Drosophila melanogaster: one gene and its partner. The protein of the gene in region 1 interacts with the protein of each later gene in a pairwise test. Each region holds a gene or a part of one and is shown on either strand. Other genes may lie near its edges.

Evidence for each region.
Region 2: the proteins of fiz (region 1) and TwdlW interact in a two-hybrid assay, tested with the Drosophila melanogaster proteins (one large-scale study listed by BioGRID).

Annotation. Positions count from the first base shown.
Region 1 is NC_004354.4:14,907,917-14,911,846, reverse strand, and holds the start of fiz (fezzik), read left to right. Parts: upstream 1-2,138; 5' UTR 2,139-2,840; coding exon 2,841-3,167; intron 3,168-3,562; coding exon 3,563-3,930. Other genes in the region: CG12398 (uncharacterized protein), read left to right, coding at 1-4; CG14406 (uncharacterized protein), read left to right, coding at 1,028-1,223, 1,530-1,645.
Region 2 is NT_033777.3:17,140,486-17,144,415, forward strand, and holds TwdlW (TweedleW), read right to left. Parts: upstream 1,920-3,930; 5' UTR 1,828-1,919; coding exon 1,813-1,827; intron 1,742-1,812; coding exon 830-1,741; 3' UTR 723-829; downstream 1-722. Other genes in the region: CG5265 (uncharacterized protein), read left to right, coding at 1-553.

The DNA of each region.
Region 1 (3,930 bases):
TTAGGTACCATGATATCATTTCCTTTGTACTTTAATTTAAAGCAATAAACTAATTTTTAAACCGAGCAAACGATGGCTGCGTTGGCTTTCATATATAGAGTAAACTTGCAACAAAAAACGTGTTACTCGTGCAATGGGAGAACCTTTATAAATATATACATAATACATTTGCCAATCATGAGAAGGTATTTATGGATATGATAGAAAAACGATCTTGCAACCTAGATAAGCCCTTCGAGAACTATTAAGTTAAATGCATGCCTGGCTAATGGCCACATATGGCATTGGATTTTTTCTTTTTTTTTTCGCCTGAGAGTCAACGAATGCAGCCACTGCGATTAGTAATCCATATATCAATTGAAACTAACCATATAGTATAATGGAGAACTATTCATTGTTGTCATTCCGCAGGTCAGCTAATTTGCTTTGGTAATGATCTTGGCATTCATTTGACTCATGGTGCTGTTTGTTTCCCATTTTCAATTCAATTCATTTAGTTTTTCATTTATGCTCAATTCTCTGTTTTAAAGTGTGAGAACTTGTAATAGCACTTCCCAGCGTTCGGAACTTTCGCAATTTTGTAGTGATTACTTATGATTTTGTATTCCGGTATAGTTTCGATTGGAGAGCATATTCGTTTTGTGGCTTAGTAGCTTAAAAATTAAATAATTAAAAAGATTTTTAAAATTATTCCCTTTTATTTTGATTACTTATGTTAATCTAACTATTTTCCTATAAACATTTCTTTCAAATATTTTTTTGTAATTATGGAAATATGGCAAGGAGTATCTGTTAGTTTCATTCATGATATGAAAGCATTGTTCTCAATCGATTTTGCTCGTAATTTATGAGCGGCCACTGAACCTAAATGGCAAATGGCAGCGCGAGCTTACGAGTTTTACCAGTTTGAGTGTCTCAGTGGGCCATGGCTTTGCATTGGGCCGCAAATCGGAAGAGGTTTTCGAGACTTTTCATGCGAGTGCGCGGCGATTGAACTGGTCATTCCACGTCCGCCACTGAACGCAAGATGACGCTCCACAAGCTGCCCGCCAAGTGCATTCTGCTCGTGGTGTTGCTGCTCCTGCTGGACTCCAGCCTGGCCAGGTCGCAACAGTTCTTCGTCGCCGAGGATGTGATAACAGGAACGGCAACTGAAACGGGAACTGCAGCTGCAAGCAGAACCGTATTTGGTGATGATCAATTGCCCATCAACGATCCATCGGGTATGTGTTGAAATGTTCCGAAAAATGTAATCAAATCACAAGAAATACCAGACATTTCAATCTTTTCGAATGCAAAAGATCTTGTTTTCTGCAGCACTTTGCAGCCTTCTTAAGAATAGATACCATTCAAAGATATAGTTCGGATTATTATTTTCATGAATGAACACAGTATTGTACCAGAATTTTCAACTATTTTCGTAAACTCAATCCAGTTTGTTCGTAAACTTTGAATACATTTTAAGATACAATTACAAAAGCTTGAAATTACATAAATATTTTTATTGATCTGACATTTTTTCTGTATAGATCTAAGTGCTGGTTTAAATTTGGCGCCCGTTGGCAGTCTGATTGCGGCAGCAGCGAATGCCGTACCCCCTGCCCCTGTTCAATTTATTCGCACGGCCATGAACAGCGGGCTCTGACCGCCAGGTGGCGCTAACCTGAATTCCAAAATAACCCAAAAATAATTGTCTCTAATTTTTAAGCGCCTTTTCGGGCAAGCGTTTTAATTACTTTGTAAAGCTGCATTTTTGTTTTGTTTTTTTTTTTCTTTTTGTTTTTCATTAAGCTGAACTGCTTTGATTTTTTTTGCCGTCTTAATGTTTGTTTGTGTCGAGCCAAGTGCTATAAATGATTTTATAATACTCGTTTAATCTGGTTACGACTTTTTCGGAGCGATAAAAACTGTGCAGTTTGGAACTCAGTTTTCAAAGCCATTTTTCTTATCTAAATGTGTTATCAAGGAAATCTCTGTTACGTTGTTTTTTTTTTCATTCTAACTTGGCTGCAGCTCTTAAATGGCGAGCAATGCTATTCAAATATATATTATATTATATTTTAATTATATATGAAGTTTAAAAAATGTTATAAAATTTTAAAAACAATTTTCTTATTTTTTAAATCTATGCTTTGATTTTAGAAATATAGCACATATGTAATTATTAATATTATATTATATTATGGCTATTTGTTTATATGCACTTCATCAAAATATTCCAATTGCATCCAGAATGCGAAGCGATCGAAAAATATATAAAGTAATTGGAAGAAAGTAGTTCAAATGACCGATGAACTCATTTCGATTGCTATTCTGGTTCTCATCGTGATGATGCCGATTCAGAAACTGAACAATTTCTATACACTACTAACATTTATTTAAAACGTATAATGCTTCACTCTTTATCGTTAAAAATAAAGACACACACAAAAAAGACAAACAACGATGTTTCGATAAGCATTAAAGTCAAAGTAAGCTTTTTACAGTTTTCACATTGATTAAAGTTTTATAAAGCTGCTAAGAATGTTTAAAGAAATCCGCAAAACATTTTTACAACATTTACATTAAAATTTAGTTTGGTTTCCTTACCGTTTTGTATTTTCTTCTTGTGTATTGAAAAATTAAATTAATCACCATTAAGCGTATTTATTATCTCGCTCTCGCTCTGCCAATGGCTAAGTCAACGTCCTCGTCGGTTGGTCGCCGCAGGGGGAGGATGCACTGTACCTGCTTATCAGATCAGTGGCTATAAAAGCGAATCTTCAGCCGCGACTGCGCCTCAGAGTCAAATAGAACCGGGTCCAAACGAGTGGCACAGGCTAACGGAAAAGCAAAACGCAATGTCACTAGACGGTGGCCAGAATCTTAACTTGGATGCGGCGGCCATTGGCCCAGATCCATGTGGATCCGTTCCAGCAACACCTGGCATTGGATTATGGAGTGGCATGGTGACCATTCTTGTGCAAACGCTTCTATCGTCCCAGTGTCTAGTTTCGCCCGCCAGCCAGTGGCCAGTGGACTATGTTGGCGATTTGAGTCAACCCTACGATTTTGTGGTCATTGGAGCAGGATCTGCGGGATCCGTGGTGGCCAGCCGGCTGAGCGAGAATCCCGACTGGAGAGTGCTCGTCCTGGAGGCGGGCGGTGATCCACCCGTCGAATCTGAGGTGAGTGCCATCATATATTGGCATATGCCATGAGATCGTACCTTGGTTTTTTCTAATCTTACACACAAAGCTCTGTAAAATACAATCTAAACTAAACTTTTCCACTCTTGAGCTTTTCCATCTACTAACGAGGCAAAACAAACCCACACCAACACCATACCATAAAATAATAATCGTAAATGTAATTATAATGATGGAATAAACAATTCTCATAAAAGGAGGTAATAGAGTTACCAAAATCAATTGATGTTACTGCATTTAAATTTGCATACAAATTATTGTAGCATTCTTCATAGCATTAGTTTAAAATTTCCCTCAAAAATCATTTTATGTCTATAAGTATGCAATAATTAGAAACTAATATATTATATATAATATTCTATATTCCCTCGCAGTTGCCGGCACTATTCTTTGGACTGCAGCACACGAACTTCACGTGGAATTACTTCACAGAGCCCAGTGATGAGGCCTGTCAGGCAATGAAAGATGGTCGCTGCTATTGGCCACGAGGCAAAATGCTGGGAGGATCGGGAGGAGTGAATGCCATGCTATATGTTCGTGGCAATCGCAGGGACTTCGATGGCTGGGCGGCAATGGGAAGCACGGGCTGGAGCTATGATCAAGTGATGCCGTTCTTCGAAAAGTCGGTCACGCCTCAAGGTAATGCCACCCATCCTAAGGGTTATGTAACCCTAAAACCGTTCGAGCGAAAAGATAATGACATACATCAAATGATCATCGATGGAGGTCGGGAGTTGGGACA
Region 2 (3,930 bases), on another chromosome or scaffold:
TGAATCGGCGCATTTGCGCATCTTCGATGGCGGCCGAACCGAAACCATCCGTTCGTGCTCCAATGAATCCCTGGCTTTTTGCCACGCCATGGATGATGTGAGTGCATCAGCTCAGGAGCGGGCTAGTAAGATTCGCGAGGCAGTGATGTGCCATCAGATGTATGCGAAGCTGGCGCTTCTGGGAAAGGGTGTCGATCGTCACCTCTTTGGACTTAAACTAATGGCGGTGGAGAACTGCCTACCTGTTCCGGAGTTCTTCTCTTCGCCAGGATATGTAAAGTCCACGCACTTTCGAATGTCCACTTCGCAGGTGGCCACCAAATATGATGCCTTCATGGGATATGGACCTTCTGTAGAAGATGGATATGCCTGTTGCTACAATCCCCGTGAACATGACATCATTTTGGCCATATCCGCATGGCGACATTGTCAGGCAACTGATCACCAAAAGATCGCCAAGGCGCTTGCGCAGTCCTTTGCTGAAATGAAGGATGTACTTGAAACATGTCCAGCTTCAAAAGACAAGCCGCCAGAGCTTAAGTGCAAGTATTGAATGTGTTTTCCTAGAACATACTTTGGATCCAAAAAAATTCCTCTTATTCCAATAATACGTTCGTTCAGTTTGGAAAGCTAAATTCATTCCCATTTAGTGGGACTTATTAAAGTACTATTAATCACTTCTTAAAATCGTCATCTAGTTAAAATTCAATGGTTTTTTTTTTAACAATTATATTTTAATACGGATTTGGGTAACATTGGCAAGCACTTAAACCTAAGTGGTGTTGATGACAGCTAACTAGATCTGGATGTGACGAGCAATGAAGAATACTTAGAACTGGTTCGCGGGCAAATAATGATTGCCGATGGGACCGACGCCAGAGTTTCCGGCACCGTTCTCCGCAAATTGTCCCTCTGAATGTTGCTGCTGTTGCTGTTCCTCCTCCTCCTCCTCTGGAGGATCCAGGGATCCCACCACCGAGGTGATGGGGGCCACACCCTCGTCGGTGATGGTCGAACTTCCTCCCAAAGTATCGTACTGTGACTGAATCTGCCGCTGGGCATTCAGAGCTTCCTCTGGAGTGCGGTACTTGATGAAGAACACCTCCGGCTTATTGATGTGCTGTGGCGCCTCGGCAATGGCATCCTGCAGATCGGAGGCGGTCGTCTTCTTGGCCAGCACATAGACCACGGTCTTCTCCTGCTTAAGGGTCTTGGCCAAGTTAAGAGCCGCCGCGCGATTGGTCTGAGCCGGCGTCTTGACGAACAGCACATTGTAGTGGTTACGGGGCTGCTGGGCCAACTGGTTCAGCTCGTCCTGGACCTCATCCTCAGACTCCTCGGGCGCCGAGTGGATGAAAAAGTTTTTGGTCACAATGGGACGCTTGGGAATCCTGACACGCGGACGAGCGCGTCGCTGCTGCTGGATGGGAGCGGTCTGGAAATTGACGGGGAAGCCGGCGGGCATGGGAAACGATCCGGCTGTGGGACGAACTGCAGGCTGGGCAGAATGGAACTGGCCAGCGGGCGGGAGGTAGGGCAGTGGGAGAGGTGGAAGCACCGGGTGCGAGGATTGCTGGGGCTGGAGCTGCTGCTGCTGCTGCAGTTGCTGGTTCAACAGGTGGGCCACAATGGGCGGTTGCTGTTGCTGCTGCTGCTGTTGGATGCGGTAGTTGTAACCCGCCTGGGTCAAGCTGATGTCAGCCTGGCTGAGGCTCAGGCACATGGCGCCCATCAGAACCGTCTGAAAGAGAAGCAATCATTATAATCCCTTGTAATCCAATTGGCATAGAGGTAGTCCAAGTTCCAACGCACCACAAATATCTTCATGCTGCCGCTTGGGTGGGTGTCTCTCTGCTGGTTAGCTGTCTTAAGCCGGATGCTCCCTCGCTGTCCGAGTTTCTTAGTGCTGTGATGATGGGTCAACCGGGCACCTGGCCTTTTATACCAATCCACGGGCCCAACTTGTTTATAATCGGAAACAAATCGTGAAACAGCAGCCAACACAGTTGCAACAGTCGAGGGGTCATAAAACATTTGTTATGCGTGGCGAAGAGGTTGTTCGGATTCATTTGGCTGGGTGGCAAGTGGGCTTTTGTATCGACTTTACATGGGGTTCCACAAAAGTCGAGCGAGAGGAAGCCCCAACAATGGGTGATACAGATACGACAAAAAAAAATCTGCATTTGTTGTAAACAAGTTAGTCGAGCTGTAACTATATCATTTTGAACATTTGCCTTATAAATATAATATATATTAAGTGTGCGTTCACTCCAAGCAAGTATCTAATACGATTTCAGAATATAAACAAAATTCAAATAACTATTCATTCATCAGATCCCTAGTAACTATACTAACTTCAATCTCAATATTGCAATTAATTCATTGAATTTGATTATAGATTTATATTTAGATTTTTTCATACAGGCAGTAAAAACATTTATTGAGAAACTACTTAATCATTTAATTGTAAATATAATTAAAATACCCAAGCATATCCATGGCTGCCAAGTGGACAATCAAATCGTCGTTTAAATTAATACAAAAGTTTTGTTTAGCTTCGTAGTTTTTGCAGATCAGTTGAATGTCCCAGAGTAATATGTAAATATTGATGACGAAGATAGGCGGACGAGGTTACTCGACCGACTTAAAATGCACTTTTGTCTACGGGACCATTGTCTCTATTTTGTTTTATTGTTCGAAACCTGAGCTATCAAATGGAAATTGAAAATTGTATATGCCGGGGACTTCAGTATTTCGCATCAGTTTTGGTCTGGCCCAAGGTCTAGGTTTTTGTCTCCATTCGATGGGGCGTAAGTGTTGGGCGATATATTGTCAGCTTTAAATGTGCCAAATTGAGACAAAATGATAGTATTGAATTTGAATTGGATTTCAAACTAAAAAAGTGAAGGTAAATAACCCCCGATCAAATCGAAAGCACAGCGTATCAAATGGATATGCCAGCTTCCAGCGGAAATTAGTTGTCATAACAAGCAGATGCATACGGAATACAAGCAGATATAGACCTTATAGGGCTAATTGGCAGGTCTCCATACTAATGGAGTGAATGTGCAAATGGTGTAATATCGAAGCGGAGATAGCAAGCTTTGCTGCTTCCTTTCCAATTTGGACTTACACACTTGCCACTTTGCCACCTGAGATATATTTCAAAATCTTGTGCATCCGACAGGGTGCATCTCATTAGCCGGGTGAAATTCTGCCCACAAATCAAAATAAACCAGCCAAGGGCAACTTGGCCACCAGATAATGAGTTAGCCCACATGTTTTCTGGTCGATGCCAAAAAAAAAAAAAAATGGTTTTCAACTTTCTCACGCCAATTTCGTGAGCCATGAAAAACAGTGAAATGGAACCGAAACTATGTTCCCTTTTTGGGCCATTAAAGATGCAAAGATCTGTCAAAGAAATATACGATAAGTTGTTTTCTGTTTGTAATGGGAAACCAAAATTACTTTGTCATTAATTAATAGATCTAAATGCATTAGTTCAAAAGTAGCAACAAGAGAAAATTACAATTTTAAATGGAAATAAAATGCGACCATGATTAATGGGTGCCAACTATTGCCGCACTTTGCATATTTTATGCAAAATGAATAAGTTGCCAAAATCTATTGAATGCAAAACACTCGGTGCGCAGATTAGTCAAAGCATAAAAGTGAATGTTGACGGTACACAAATTATGATTTGCGTAACAAAACTATTTTATTTTAATTTATTAATTCACACCATGAGAGATTTTGACATAGGCTACCTTTGTCCATTCCTATGCATAGCATTAGCAACCGAATCCGAACCCAAACTACATCCACCTGCGAATCCGTATCCCAAATCCATCACATCGAAACGATTGGGCGATAAATGCCCCTGCGATCGATGCCTACCATCCATCCGGTCGTAATAAATGCATTTTTAAT